3 linked regions of the Arabidopsis thaliana genome follow. The protein of the gene in region 1 interacts with the protein of each later gene in a pairwise test. Each region holds a gene or a part of one and is shown in the gene's direction. Other genes may lie near its edges.

Region 1 (6,223 bases):
GCGTGGATAGGTTGTCTTTCAGTGAGCCTCTTCTGCTTCTGTGCAAAAAGATGCCATGTCTGGTTTAGAAACCTTCACAACTCTATCCGTGATGACCGTTATCTCATTGGTCGGAGACTGCATAACTTTGGGGAAGCTGCTTTAGCTAATCAAAACCAAAACCAAAGTAGTGAGGATGCAGGAGATGGTGTCTTGATAGGACGAGAGGGAGATGTTGATAATGGACTTAGGCTCAGACGTGCAATCCAACAAGAAGCTTAGAAAGAAACTGTGCACTGAGGCGTTTAACATTTTGTGTACTTAAGCCGTTAAGAGATGGCTTTGAAAGATTTATTATTAGTCGATGTGTAAATTATTATATCCGTTGATGATTCTCTTTTTTTTGTTTTTGTGTACGAAACTAAAAGATCTTTAGAATAATGCTTCGTTTGTCCATATGCCTTGTGTGTTTCTATGATAATGCTTCTAGAATACCTTCGCTTACTGCAAATTCTTGTCTTTTGTCTCTTATGTTAGTGCATGTAAGCCTTAAGGAATTGGCGTTGAAGATCTATTTGGCCGATGTGTGATTGTAGACATACTCGTTGATACTGTTTTTGGTTTTTTATTTTCCAACAGAATAAAAATAAGAGGAATGTTATAACCCCATTAGATAGATGTCCATATCAGGTTCATCTCAGACCCATATGCTTCAAGGGTTATGGGTACTTAGAGAGATTGTGTTCCCGATTGTGATGAAACTCCTAACGGCTTTATGTGTGCCTTATGTGTTGGCGAGAGGAGTGTTCCCAATGCTCGGATATCCGCTAGTAGTGAACTCAGCGGTCTACAGATTCGCATGGATAGGTTGTCTCTCAGTGAGCCTCTTCTGCTTCTGGTTTAGAAACCTTCACAACTCTATCCGTGATGACCGTTATCTCATTGGTCGGAGACTCCATAACTTTGGGGAAGCTGCTTTGGCAAAACCAAAGTAGTGAGGATGCGGGAGATGGTATCTTGATAGGACTTTAGGGAGATGTTGATAATGGACTTAAGGCTCAGACGTGCAATCCAACAAGAAGCTTAGAAAGAAACTGTGCACTGAGTCGTATTAACTTAGGCTTGGAAATATTTACTAGTCAATGTGTATCCCGTTGATCCTCTTTTGTTTGTGTATAATATCCAAAGGATCTTAAGAAATGAGTAATGACGCTTCGTATATATATATGCCTTGTGTGTTTCTACTTTCTATTGTAATGCTTTTTGAAATGATTGCGTATTGCAAAATCTCATCTCTCATCTTATGTTCTTTCGTGTCACAATTCTACTGGAAGGCCAATCGTGTATTAAGTTGAATTGTTTTGATAAGTCAAATCTTAACATATTGGTTATTTAATTAAGATACTTTTTGCATACCATATAAAATCGTGCGGTAAATATTAATATTAACAACTTTTACTTTAGGAAAATCAAAATTCATCAAGATCCAGTGAGAATATTGCTAATCAGAGTTAAGAAATGTTAAGATAAATCAAAGAAAATATCATCACTGTACAAAATTTTAACAAACTTGGTTACTAATTAGATTCGAAAGTGTCAAACACGCGCGTATCTGTTTGACTTTTCCGAAAGTGACGAGAAGGAAGACGACCTTATCAATTCACCAGCAACTCTAAAATCAATCCTACGATTTACTTCAGACTCGATCCAACGGCTGAGATCAATCTCACACTCCTAGGGTTCTTCTAGGGGAATTAAAGGTTTCTTTTTTTTGTTGGGTTAATAATATAAAAGCAAAGAAAAGGAGAAACCGTAATGCTTCTTTTTCATCTATCGTAATTGTGCTTGTTTCGCCTAGAATCTCTCGGCCCCCAAATATCTCACTCGCCGTCGCAGGCTTCGCCGCCGGCAATTTCTTACCCTATTTCATCTTCCCTCTCCTCTGATATACCCATAAAAACACAAAAAAAACGAAAAGATAAAAACTTTGGCTTTAGTTTTGTTGATTTTGTCATTCGATTCGATTTCTTTTTCTTCTTTCAAATTCTAGGGTTTTCGATTTGGTTTCAGTCTAATAACGAGAGGGGAGGGAAGAGTAACTAAAACCCCAAAAAAAGTCAAAAAAGTTTCGAAAATCCAAAAAAAGATAATGGCGCAGGTTCAACTTCAGGGTCAGACTCCGAATGGTTCGACCGCGGCGGTCACTTCTGCTCCGGCGACGTCAGGTGGAGCAACGGCGACCCAGTTTGGTAACACGTCGCTTTATGTGGGGGATCTCGATTTCAATGTGACGGACTCGCAGCTTTTCGATGCGTTTGGCCAAATGGGTACTGTGGTCACCGTTCGTGTCTGTAGGGATTTGGTCACTCGCCGATCTCTTGGCTATGGATACGTTAACTTCACCAATCCCCAAGACGGTTAGTCTCCTTAATTTTATTTGGACTTCTTCTTACAATTTCCAATTTTTAGGGTTTGCTCGATAGTACCAGTACTGGATTTGAATGAGGTGTGTTTTAAATGTTGATACTTTATGGTGTTTGTATGTATGCAATGTGGTTGGTGCTGTTGGAAAGCTTATCCCCTGCTTAATCAATCTTTTTAATGCTACTTCTGTCTTCTAATGGTACTTTATCTCGTGTCTTTGTTGCAGCTGCAAGAGCGATCCAAGAACTGAATTACATACCTCTTTATGGAAAACCTATTAGGGTTATGTATTCTCATCGTGATCCTAGTGTTCGCCGAAGTGGCGCTGGCAACATTTTTATTAAGGTACGCTTGTCTCTATCCTTCTGACATTTGAGTTGCTGTAAGACGAGATGATTGTTGCGAAAAAATTTGTATCTTGTATTATTCATTGAAAAGTCTGGCAAAAGTAGTTGATTTCTTTAGTTATGTAAGTTTTTTTATTGGGTGTTCTTTCTCTCTTTCTGATGCTAAACCTGGCTATAATATGCAGAATTTGGACGAGTCCATCGACCACAAAGCACTGCATGATACTTTTTCATCGTTTGGAAACATTGTGTCGTGCAAGGTAGCTGTCGATTCTTCAGGCCAGTCAAAAGGCTATGGGTTTGTGCAATACGCCAATGAAGAATCTGCCCAGAAAGCTATAGAGAAACTGAACGGCATGTTGCTCAATGACAAGCAAGTGTATGTGGGTCCTTTCCTGAGGAGACAAGAAAGAGACTCCACTGCTAACAAAACGAAATTCACCAATGTGTATGTGAAGAATCTCGCGGAAAGTACTACCGATGATGACTTGAAGAATGCTTTTGGCGAGTATGGAAAGATAACAAGTGCTGTCGTGATGAAAGATGGAGAAGGGAAGTCCAAGGGCTTTGGGTTTGTCAACTTTGAAAATGCTGATGATGCTGCTAGGGCTGTGGAGTCTCTCAATGGGCACAAATTTGATGATAAGGAGTGGTATGTTGGTAGAGCCCAGAAGAAGTCAGAGAGGGAAACAGAATTAAGGGTCCGTTATGAACAGAATTTGAAGGAAGCTGCAGACAAGTTTCAAAGTTCAAACTTGTATGTTAAGAATTTGGATCCTAGCATTTCAGATGAGAAACTTAAAGAGATCTTTTCTCCTTTTGGTACCGTTACATCTAGCAAGGTTCAATGTCCCTCTCTCTCTCTCTTTATTTGTAGTGAGTTGACTCTCCTAGTTCATTATTTAAGAAGTTCTTTTATTAAATATTACAGGTGATGCGGGATCCTAATGGAACAAGCAAAGGCTCAGGTTTTGTTGCTTTCGCAACTCCCGAAGAAGCAACTGAAGCTGTAAGTCAGTTGTATCGTCTTGTTGATTGTATTTATGAGGACTTTGATTGTTAGTAACAGTGGAATACTGTACAGATGTCACAGTTGAGCGGTAAAATGATCGAAAGCAAGCCACTCTATGTGGCTATTGCACAGCGGAAGGAAGACAGAAGGGTCAGACTACAGGTTTGCTTCTCTTGGAATCACCTCGTCTTGTGATACACTTACTACTCCTACTTTGCCTGTTGGAGTTTCAACTCTAAACAATTGGACCCATCATGTACAAGTCTTAGAATGTCCCACTGCGTATAATTATCAATACTGATGCTGATTCTTCTTTATAATCAAGTGCAACAATATATAAAGCATAAACAACATATGTCCTAGTATTTTTGTATCACAGAAAAATCTCTTTTTTCTCCTGCTGCTGAGTATTTGCATTGATGTGAATAGGCTCAGTTTTCCCAAGTGAGGCCAGTTGCAATGCAGCCGTCTGTTGGTCCCCGCATGCCAGTGTATCCCCCGGGTGGTCCTGGTATTGGACAACAAATGTTCTATGGTCAGGCCCCTCCTGCCATGATTCCTCCCCAGGTAATCTTCATGTTACTCTACTTTAAGTAGCCGTGTACGATTTTACACAAAGATATGCACATGTTTATTTTCTACCTTGGGTATAATGAATTACAAGCTGACAGATGCTTTTAAGTCACATGAAAAGTTTTTAAATTCTTTAGCTCTATAGTTGCTATACTCATACTTGAGCCTTTCCAAATCTATTTTGAAACTGCTGGGATAATATTAACCTGTACTTATGCAATGCCACAGCCTGGGTATGGATACCAACAGCAGCTTGTTCCTGGAATGAGACCTGGTGGGGGTCCTGTACCCAGTTTCTTCATGCCTATGGTTCAGCCACAGCAGCAGCGTCCTGGAGGAGGAAGACGTCCTGGGGGAATCCAACACTCCCAGCAGCAAAATCCCATGATGCAGCAACAGGTTCTTCTCTTTTCCTTATTTAATTGCAATAAAGGCTGCTTTGCTTGCTTGGCTCTCTTTTAATAGTTGATCGTATGGTTTTTCTGTTTGGATGGTGGTTAGATGCATCCAAGGGGTCGGATGTTCCGGTATCCCCAAGGGCGTGGTGGTAGTGGTGATGTGCCTCCATATGATATGGGCAACAACATGCCATTGACTATTGGAGCTTTGGCTTCAAATCTGTCTAATGCTACTCCAGAGCAACAGAGGACGGTGAGAGAATCTCTTAAAAACCAAATAGAGAGACTGGTTTTGCTTGGATTATAATAATGTGACCCTTTGGGTGTGTTTGTACAGATGCTGGGTGAGGTGCTGTACCCGTTGGTGGAGCAGGTTGAGGCAGAGTCTGCAGCCAAAGTGACTGGGATGCTTTTGGAGATGGACCAGACTGAAGTGCTCCATCTGTTGGAGTCACCAGAAGCTCTCAAGGCCAAAGTTGCAGAGGCTATGGATGTTCTCAGGAGTGTCGCTGCTGGTGGTGCAACCGAGCAGCTCGCTTCCTTGAACCTCTCTTAAATTGCTTTTTATCATTTGATCTTTGGCTTTTGTCTCTCCCATACAATTGGAGTTGTTTCTTTGCTATTCGTTTTCTCCCTGGGAATTTGGATTCCTCCACATAACTGCGTTTGTGTTATTTTAAACCTTCGTTTTTAAACCACAAAGGAAAAACCTATCTGCTTTGTTCTTTTGATTTAGTTGCGTGTTCTAGCTTGTTCGATCTAGTGTTCACGGAAGATGAATTTGATTACCAATAAGGCCAATGCTGGTGATCCCCCTCTTTGGCCTTTTGACTGTTGGTGGTTGTTGCTTCTAGTCATTTTTTTTACCAGTTTTTCAAGCTCTATTTTATGGTAAAAAGGTGTCCTGGTAAAAATGGATGAATGGGTCTCATTCTCAGCAGACAATGTTTGAATGAGAAAGAAATACATTTTAAACTTTTTATACACTTTGCTTCTAGATTGATTGGGACTAGTCGAATAGAAATCTTAGTAGAGGTCTAAGGAAACATGATACACATCTTGTTTGGTTGAAATCTTACCATTGTTTTTGGTTTCAGTTATTGATCTGGTTTTTGGACTACTTTTTCTGCAACTATTTGAGAATGAGAAATTACTTACCAAAAAAAAGAAAGTCTTCATCTACGCCAAGGATTTAGAATATTCGTACATGAATTTTGATTTCCAGTACATTGCGTCATGAACTATATAGTCTACTTGTTTTTTTTTGTATCTATTTGACATGCAGCAAAGCCAGCAACACATCTTTTATTGAGTCTGATGATATTTGTGAACTAATTCGAAAATATTTAAAAGATTCGAGTGTATGAAAGGTTTAACTATTATCAAAATCTCTAGATATTTCAACTGATGGCAACACTCAACAATCTCACAATCACGACATAAAAATCCAATAACACTTGAAACCAAAAGAGGGTTCAAATTAGGGTTTC
Region 2 (5,782 bases), on another chromosome or scaffold:
ATCAAATTAAAGTGGTATTTCTCAACTGACTCTTTGATATTTCAGGACTATAACGCCAAATTATCTGACTTCGGTCTAGCCAAAGATGGACCTGAAGGCGAACATACGCATGTAACTACCCGAGTGATGGGAACACAAGGTTATGCTGCGCCCGAATATATCATGACTGGTAACATTTTTGTAAGGAATTTATTTCTTTTACCGTGAAGCGATATTCTTTGAGATATGTCTTTAATGGTTTACATGTGTTGTAGGTCATTTGACGACGATGAATGATGTATACAGTTTTGGAGTAGTTTTGTTAGAGCTGATAACCGGAAAACGGTCAATGGACAATACCCGAACACGGAGGGAACAAAGCCTAGTGGAATGGGCGCGGCCTATGTTAAGGGACCAAAGAAAGTTAGAGAGGATAATTGACCCGAGGCTCGCGAACCAGCACAAAACAGAAGCGGCTCAGGTAGCTGCTTCCCTAGCATACAAGTGTCTAAGCCAACATCCTAAGTATAGACCTACAATGTGTGAGGTGGTTAAGGTCTTAGAGTCTATCCAAGAAGTTGATATTAGGAAGCATGATGGCAATAACAACAAAGAAGGAAAGAAGTTTGTTGATATAAATAAGTTTAGGCATCACCGTAAAGGCAAAAGACGTGTGAACATCGCTTATTCAGATTCTCTCGTTTACAAGGAATCCAAGGCAAAGCAAAACGATGGCATTTGAAATACATCATTTTCTCATATGAATTATTAAGCATTCATATTCTATGAACGCAATTCTTATCTTAAGTTATGACCATTCTTCCAAAAATTTGAAGGAAAGAAAGGTGATGTTATAAGTATCCTAGTTCTCTGGTATTTTAGATTAATTTCCTTTACATAATTCAAAAATACTTTGTACAAAAGAGTCATGTACAAGAAATATAAAATAAATGTTTGTAAATCATATATATATACACCAGTTTGTTGGGCGGACAACGTTGAAGTTATTTCGCTCTTTAAAACATAGTAGATGATCACTTGGTTGGTTATTATGGAGATTGGAATTGCAATAAAATCAAATCATGTATGGTACGGCAGCTACCCCTAGATTATTCTTGGTGATTCCAATGAAATTATGAGCTCCTCGGAGCACTCTCGTTTTCAAGATTACATATGAAACCGTTTGGGTATATTTGAGTTTCAGAATGCTGTATAAATGTAATAAATTATTAAATTTTTATATTTATTTTATCTATATCAACAATAAGTATACTTTTTTCCCTAGATGACTTAAATTCAAAGCAAATTAACAATAACAATCAGTTTGAAGATTATTTTTCCTAAATATAAATATAATTGTATAAACTTTAATTAGATTTTTAAAATAATAAGCTAATTCAGGATATTCAAAATATATAGAGAAATCTTATTAAAAAAAAAAATTAGTTGAAAGGAAATAGTTAACCTAATAAAAGCAAGTAATCAAAGCCCAAAAATTTACAATTAAAACCCTTAGTGATAAGGATTAAGTGTCATTAGTAGTTAATAAATAAATGTTGTAGATAGATGGAGTCACTAAAAAAAAAAAAGGTCAAAACGAGAGGCGCAAGGTTTGGTGTCTTGTTAAATAAATCTTGTGGTGCTCGTGTTACCTCTTTAGCCAAACAACACCCCCAAACAATTACTCTTATAGAGAGAGTAGAAGAAGACGACGCTTACCCCAAAACTCGAATCCCTAGGAGGTAACAGCTTAAGCTCTCCGATTACCCCAAACTGCAAAATTTCTCATCTTTCTCTCTCTTTATCTTGTTTTCAACAGCAGCCTTTACCTTTTTCTTTTAACCTCTGATCTTGTTATCTTCCATGGATCCATTTCCTTAAAGGTTTGCTCTTTCTTTCAGAGATATTCTTATCTCTACGAATCTCATCTTGATTTGGGTTCTTCTTTTTTGTGTGGTTTAATAAATCACAAATCTGTTTTTTTCTATCTTGGATTTACTTAAAAATCTTGTTTTTAATAAAGGGTTTTCTTTTATTTCAGTCATTTAAAGATACCCTTATTCTAGAATTTAGTAGTTGTGTTTCAAATTTTAAGTCTTTATGTGTTTGTCTGGTAAGAACTATAAAAAAGCTGCAATGGGTTTTGACTTATGAGTTTGTAGCCACTGAAAATGTATCTCTTTTTCTTGTTTAGGTTTTGGTAATATGAATTGAGAAGTCCACGCACGTGTGTATCTCTATTACCGTCAGGTGTGTTACCTTTCTTCTCTGAGTAATTTGTTTGATTAAAGCAAAGTATTTTGCAGGTTTCTTCTTTGAGTAATTTGACTTAGAAAAGCCAAACTCTTTTTTTTGCAGATTTTGGTTTAAAAGCAGTTATTTTTACTAGTCTTGTAAGAATGAGTTTAACAAAGAAAGCAAGTGAACCAAAGCTAAGTGGTACTAGTATCAAGCCAACAACTTTAAACCCTCATGCTGCTGAGTTTGTTCCGTTTACTCTACGTTCTCCTTCATCTGGAGGTACAAGTACTTTGGATACAAGACTTTTAGCTTCTTCTAGTTCTGTTGGGAAAGCGGTTTTGGACAGGACAGAATCATCTGCGTCACATCATTCAGATGAAGAAGCACGTCAGTTCTGGAGTCATCAACTTCCTGATGATATAACTCCAGATTTTGGGTTGATGACTCAAGATGACAATTCTTATGGATCTGGTAGTTTGTCACTAGCTAACTTGTCGTTGTTTGACGGTAATGAAGCTGAGAAGTTTCCTTCTGCTAGTGGAGGATATGGCTTTTCAGATCAAACTGGATTAGCTTCACATAATGCTAATGGTAATAGCTTGGCTGATAAGAGTAGATATCCCATTTCTTCATTTGGGGAAGATCCTCAGCGACAGAGTTTCATGCAACTGAGTCCAAAGCCTTGGGATAAGCAAATCATGAATGCTGAGCAGCTTCTTGGGAATGACAGGGAAAGAAACCCTTTTAGTGGGAAATCTCGACATGGCTTTGTTAACGACATGATTACTGAGAGTCCAGGGGATATGGAGGTGAACCCTGTGGATTTTCTCGCTTCTCAGTTCCCCGGATTCGCCGCTGAGAGTCTAGCAGAAGTTTATTTTGCTAATGGGTGTGATTTGCAGTTGACAATTGAGATGCTTACTCAGCTTGAGGTATTCTCCTATTCAATATATGGCATAGCTTTTATTGATGTTATGTTATTAAATTCTATGTTTATTTTCTTCTCTGTATAGCTACAAGTGGATGGTGGCTTGAATCAAAACATAAGCCCTAAGACTTATGCTCCTCCTAGTCTAACTCCAATGGATTTTCCTGCACTAAGCATCTCAAATAGCCATGGTATTCCTGCCCAGTTTGGTGGGGATGATTTGCAACAAACTGGAAATCATTACCAATCTCCTGAAAAGGATAACATGTTCTTCTTCAAGTCGGGACCATCGGTTTCTCAGCCTGGTGCAATCGATTATGTTTCTGCTGTCAGGAAGTTAGCATCTCAGGATTCTGGTATGTGGAAATATGAACGAAATGATTCAGCAGACTCATCTATTGGCTCTAGCAGGAATTCTGGTGCTTACAAAAGTGGCCGTGGGAGGAGTATATATTCTGATAAGCTGCAAAGTCGAGCCCAAACTCGACCTGCTCCTGTTTGGGTGGAGACCGGGGATGCTGTTGGTAAGTTTCTTCTTTTAACAAACTTTATTGCATAGACAAATAACTATATGAGTCTTGTTATACATCTGTATTGAACATATGTTATCTTATTCGACGATGTTGCATTTCTGGCTCTCTCTTTTATCTGGGGATGAACAGGCAATATGTATTCTGAGTTACGCGAGGAAGCACGTGACTATGCACGTTTGCGGAATGTGTACTTTGAACAGGTATAATATACTTGGAAATGACATTTTACTCATTTATGTGGCCTCTAGTTGTTCTGCAGACCTGTTGTTTTTTGCAACTGGGAAGTTCCATTTGGTACATACCTGTCTATTAATGTTAAGGCCGTGTAATGTGGCCTAACCTTGAGGTCTATTGTCCAGATTGATTTTTGGAAAATACTTCGGGTGTATGGCGTAGTGAATCATAAGTATTTGGAATCTTGCGTGCAATTTATGATGATAGTTTATAAAGCTTTTTGTCAATGATGGGGTTTTCACCGGTTTTATTACTTCGACGTCATCTTATTAACCTGTTATCTTTCTGTCTTAGTCATGTACGCTCAATATTCTATGTTGCTTCTGGTTGAGCGTAGGCACGACAAGCATACCTTGTTGGGAATAAGGCCTTAGCCAAAGAGCTAAGTGTTAAGGGACAGTTGCATAATATGCAAATGAAGGCTGCTCATGGGAAAGCTCAAGAAGCCATTTACCGCCAGAGGTTTGACTTCTTTACCTGCACTGCATCTCCTTGTAACATGATCTTTTATCCGAAACACACACTGATATCTCCATAAATGAAAAACAAAACTCCTGTTCTCAGTATCTCTGTTCTAACCTGCCTATGAGTAAAAAATGAAACAGGAACCCAGTGGGTCAAGGAAACAGTAGAGGGAATGAGAGAATGATAGACTTGCATGGGTTACATGTGAGTGAAGCACTTCAGGTGTTGAAGCACGAACTGAGTGTGTTGAGGAGCACAGCTCGAGCAACGCAAGAGAGGCTTCAGATTTACATATGTGTAGGGACAGGCCACCACACAAGGGGTTCCCGCACTCCGGCTAGACTCCCAGTTGCTGTACAGCGCTACCTACTCGAAGAAGAAGGTCTTGACTATTCCGAACCACAGGCCGGTCTCCTTAGAGTCATCATATACTGACAGACAAAAGCCAGGTACTTATATAGGATACAAGACCGGAAAAGAAAACAAAAAAAAGGAAAGGTGACCACGCTATTCATTTGTTGTATCTGATCTGTACATGGGAAGAGAGGAGAAAGAGACTAGCTGAAAATGAAGAAGGAAAAAAAAAAGTGTTAGGAAAGAGATCCGCAAGAAGGAAGGAACGAAGGCGTATGCATAAAATGTTTAGGTTTGTTCAGTTAATACTTTTTGTAGCATCAGAGGATCGATCAGACCTCTTTCTATCTTTTTGTCGGGATCTATACGATGTTTTGTTGATTCTCGGTGCTTTTTTTTTTTTACAGTTTTACTCTATATGTTATACTCCTTTCTTCTGGAAATGCTTATATTTGTAATTCTCTTAGATTTAATGTGCATCACTAAGTTACAAATTCATGAGTCAAAAAGTAAAATTTTGTACTTTAAAAAGCTTGTTTCCAGTTATGTATTGTAAAAGAGAAATCAAGCTCTAATCATAAGCTCATAAACATTACTGTTGTTCTCTCCATTCACTCGCTTAAGCATTTCGAAACTTTTCCTGCTTCCTAATAACTCTATTCTTGGGAAAACCAAGCATCCTTCATCTGATGTCTCTTTGCTGCAATACACTGTTCTGAGACGGTCAGCGTGCCTCGAGTCTGTGTGAATTGCAACTTCTATTTCATGATCCGGCAAGTTCTCCTGCAGAATCAATAGACACAAGAGATCTTCTTATTGTGAACTAAACGGTAACATGGGCCTAGTGAGTCAACAGAGATAGTATAAATACTAATCACTCATAAGTTCCTAACTAAGACGAAGAAATTGATTCTAAAGACTCTCCTTTTCATAGCAACTAAAAGGAACTGAAACGAGAAATTGGCCATTCGAATATGATGGTTATACCTGGTAAAATCTGTAGATATAGTCTAAGATTTGCAGGCAAGTGAAACCACTATCACTGAAA
Region 3 (3,661 bases), on another chromosome or scaffold:
TTAGTAAAAACAGATTAAATATAATGGAGTGTGTTTATTGACTAACCATCCTTCTAGAAAGCCAGGACTGCTCTGTTGTTGCTGATGCTGCGGTGGTGGAGGATATTGAGGCGCGTACGGTGGAGGATATCCTTGCTGAGGATAACCTTGTTGAGGATATCCCTGAGGTGGATAGCCTTGCTGAGGATATCCCTGAGGAGGATATCCTTGTGGTGGATAAGCATCTTTTGGATATCCCTCCGGTGGATAACCTATTGATACAATTTCAGCACAAACAAAATTCAGATCCGTCGTACAAAAACAATAATCAGTACCAAATTAAGCAGATCTAAGAAAAAATTACAAATCTAAAAACCGAAACTTCTAAAAGTAATCGAAAATAGAAGGAAAGAGGACCTTGAGGAGGAGGAACACCAACGGGAGGTTGATTGTACTGGCTCATTGTTTCCTTTGAAGAAAAAGTGTAAACTTCGTAGAGAAGAAGGAGATCACGAACCTTAGATCGAAAAAGTTTATAGAAGCGATAGAGAAGGACAAGGAAAAGAGGAGAGTGTTTTAAGTATAACGCGTTTTGCAGTTATTTGATTTTTCTTGTTTTTATCCATAACTTTAGGCTAGCGTTCAATACGATGAATTAAAATGAAACTACCAATAAAAAAGGTTAAATTAAAACAAGATTCACGCGGTTTCTGCCTTTTGCAGCGATATTATTTCTGTTTTTTTTTTGTTTAATAGAACTTAATTAATTGGAGAACAAAGATTATTGATTGGTTGTTTATTCTGTTGTTTTTTCTAATGTTCTGTATGAAATCTAGTGATGCTTAATTTCTTTTTGTATCTTACTTCAAATTTCCTTAGAATATAGAAATTCATTTTGTTTTATCGAGTCGATTGACTTAAGACACATTACAACATATGATAAATAGATGTACACAATAGATAAAGTAAAAGTGTCTACATTCTAAACCCCACTTACCTACTTCCAATGTATACTAAAAAAGAGGAGATATTCATGTACATATATACATTTTAAGGTTTCCAATCTCTTGAAAAGGCTTGCTGAATCACATTGTGAAAGTAGCAATGGCCTGGACTTCACTACAACATTTTCCTTCCCGCCAATTACACATCGTTCTCTTTGAGCTACTTCATCTACTAGTTTTGCCACTGCTATTCTAAAACTGACCGTAAGTGGTTGATGCAAAGAAGAAAATATGATCAGTCATTCCGTTTTGCAACATAACAATGAAGCAGAAAATTATGTATGTTCATTTCGATAATCCTAGTTGTTCGACACCTTAATGATCTTGGTGTCCTTGTATAGATTACCTTAGAATTTGGTTCTTCATTGTCATTGGTTAGCTTTTCAAACTTGATGTCCTATAAAAATGCACATCTCAGACATTACGTAAATCCTAGAATCTACTTTTGGTACTTACACGATACAATACCGAAAACGTAAGTACCAAAAGTAGATTCTAGGATTAGGCCCAAAATGATGATGTAAAACAAAATCATGAGTGGGTTAGGCCCATACGGTCATAAATGGGCTTATATTGGATTAGTTTCCTCCTACCTTATCCTCTTTCCGACCAAATTTAAGATATTTTATAGAAAGAATAATAATTTAACTTTTTAGTGTGAGTAGCCAACAGGATTGGAACGAAAAAGAAAGTCAATAAAAGCCAACAGTAACGCGTCTACACGTGGACGGTTGATTACTCAGAACCATGTTAGCTATGGGTCCAGACCTACCCACTTGTGTCTCACCTTTAATCCTGCCTCGACGTTACGAACCCCAGCTTCGTCACCGAACCTTACTTTATATATTAGTCCTTCTTCTTCTCATCTTCTCGCAACGTAGGTTCTGGTGAATGATCCTAATCCGTTTAGCTTTTAAAAAAATAAGAAGACATATTTATCAACTTGATCAACTTGAGCAAGTTGCAGCAGATATTTTCCTCGGCCAAGGTAAAGATCTGATGTTGTCTTCTTCTCTACTCGATCAATTTCTATATTTGAAGTTCGTGGATTTTGAAGGATTTGATTGGTTTCCATGGTATTAGATCTCTGTGATGGTTGTTGATCTATCTTAAAACTTGATTTATCTTCAGTTCTCTCGATTTCAAACTTGTACTTGTCCTACTTCAAGTGATCTAATCGGAAACTTATTGTTGCTATGTTTACTGATCGTACAGATCTATTGATCTAAGGATTAAGCTATGTTGTGATTGAGTTGTTAGATTTGAATTTGAATTTGAACTGAGCTTGTTTGTTTGTGTGTGCAGATCTAGAGTTTTGAGAATGGCGATGGTATCAGGAAGACGATCTACTCTAAACCCCGACGCACCTCTTTTTATTCCGGCAGCTGTACGACAAGTGGAAGATTTCTCACCGGAGTGGTGGCAATTGGTGACAACTTCGACTTGGTACCCTGATTACTGGATCAGTCAGCAGCAGCAAGGCGCGGATGGTTTCTATGACAACGGAGAGAATGAGAATGGTGGAGGTCATATCGATGTAGCTGATCTTCTTCCAGAATCATTTGATTTTGATGATATGGAAGATTTCTTTGACACTGATGCTGCTGAGTTTGATCAAGGATTCGATGGAAGAATGTATTACCAAGCACCTTCCGAATTTGGTAAGTCGGTTTCATTCCCCTGATACATAGAACCATCCAAGATCAGTAGATTTGTGGAGGCTAATTGTTGTTTATATATATCATCAGGCTTTGGAAAGAATGGTGAGATGGTTAAGAAATCAAGTGGAAACAGGAGCCCGAGATCGATTGTGGAACCAGCTAAGTATGCGGAAAAGCCAGCGAAATGGGGAAACCAGAGGGTTGCTGCTGCTCCGAGAAACATCCACCAGCCTCGCTGAAGAGATATGTTGTTAACTAGTCAGAGAAGTCAGAGCAGTTCGGTCTGTGTATCTTTAGCCACCACTGTACCTTTGTAATTTTTAGTATTTGCTTCCACAACAAAAATCTGTAACTTTGTATCTTTATGATGTTCATTCTCAAACTTGCTATCACAAAAATGTAAAAACATAAAAAAAAAAAAATGTAAACTTTGAAGAGAAATGAGAACTAGAGTTTATTTCCTACCTTTGTCTGAGCAATTCTATTCAATTACCAAAAGTCTTATCCTGCATCGGTGATGGCTACCGGAAGCAGTTGCATCAATGTTGCTTTGGCTTTACGACCAAAAGAAAGCCATCGCAGAGCTCAAATATAGAAGGTTTTCACGTCTCAGCTACTGAAAATGATCAGTTCTCTAAAGACTAGAACTCTACAAGGTTGGTGGCTAAGAAAAGGATGTCGATTACATCATAATGCTAATACACGCAAAAGGTCAGGAGTGTCGAACATGTTTTAACTTGCAAACATTGCCGACGACACCAAGTTCATTTCGAGCTCGGAATTGAGATACCGAAGACATGTCCAAATTTAAACCGGACTTAGTAAATTCCCCATCAAAAATGGGGAAAATGAGACTTTTCTTTCGTTTGATGCGAAAACTCTCGTCTTGACTCTTGAAGCTTTGTTTTTTTGACTCCACAAGTCGTCGATTTGACATTCGAACAAATGATTAGTCAGACGATCAGAAACGCTCCAAAACGCAGCGCTTTGGCTAGAACAGAGCTTTAAGACACCTAT

Evidence for each region.
Region 2: the proteins of PAB2 (region 1) and CID7 interact in a two-hybrid assay, tested with the Arabidopsis thaliana proteins (2 studies listed by BioGRID).
Region 3: the proteins of PAB2 (region 1) and ERD15 interact in a two-hybrid assay, tested with the Arabidopsis thaliana proteins (2 studies listed by BioGRID).

Annotation. Positions count from the first base shown.
Region 1 is NC_003075.7:16,334,604-16,340,826, forward strand, and holds PAB2 (poly(A) binding protein 2), read left to right. Parts: upstream 1-1,687; 5' UTR 1,688-2,128; coding exon 2,129-2,396; intron 2,397-2,629; coding exon 2,630-2,748; intron 2,749-2,935; coding exon 2,936-3,592; intron 3,593-3,681; coding exon 3,682-3,759; intron 3,760-3,834; coding exon 3,835-3,924; intron 3,925-4,191; coding exon 4,192-4,329; intron 4,330-4,563; coding exon 4,564-4,734; intron 4,735-4,836; coding exon 4,837-4,986; intron 4,987-5,070; coding exon 5,071-5,289; 3' UTR 5,290-5,711; downstream 5,712-6,223. Other genes in the region: CER9 (RING/U-box superfamily protein), read left to right, coding at 1-261. UniProt on the Arabidopsis thaliana protein: Binds the poly(A) tail of mRNA. Appears to be an important mediator of the multiple roles of the poly(A) tail in mRNA biogenesis, stability and translation. In the cytoplasm, affects both translation and mRNA decay.
Region 2 is NC_003071.7:11,187,176-11,192,957, reverse strand, and holds CID7 (CTC-interacting domain 7), read left to right. Parts: upstream 1-1,560; 5' UTR 1,561-1,721; exon of another isoform or gene 1,722-1,862; intron 1,863-2,173; 5' UTR 2,174-2,229; intron 2,230-2,337; 5' UTR 2,338-2,378; coding exon 2,379-3,152; intron 3,153-3,233; coding exon 3,234-3,672; coding exon of another isoform or gene 3,673-3,707; exon of another isoform or gene 3,708-3,810; coding exon 3,811-3,881; coding exon of another isoform or gene 3,882-3,887; exon of another isoform or gene 3,888-4,252; coding exon 4,253-4,377; coding exon of another isoform or gene 4,378-4,453; exon of another isoform or gene 4,454-4,520; coding exon 4,521-4,815; 3' UTR 4,816-5,232; downstream 5,233-5,782. Other genes in the region: ARSK1 (root-specific kinase 1), read left to right, coding at 46-169, 255-721; AT2G26270 (BRCT domain DNA repair protein), read right to left, coding at 5,299-5,517, 5,722-5,782.
Region 3 is NC_003071.7:17,267,432-17,271,092, forward strand, and holds ERD15 (dehydration-induced protein (ERD15)), read left to right. Parts: upstream 1-1,726; 5' UTR 1,727-1,971; exon of another isoform or gene 1,972-2,288; 5' UTR 2,289-2,304; coding exon 2,305-2,644; coding exon of another isoform or gene 2,645-2,667; exon of another isoform or gene 2,668-2,731; coding exon 2,732-2,883; 3' UTR 2,884-3,111; downstream 3,112-3,661. Other genes in the region: WIH2 (proline-rich family protein), read right to left, coding at 47-251, 397-442. UniProt on the Arabidopsis thaliana protein: Central component of stress responses that interacts with poly(A)-binding proteins. Negative regulator of abscisic acid (ABA) responses, including resistance to drought and freezing as well as stomatal closure regulation.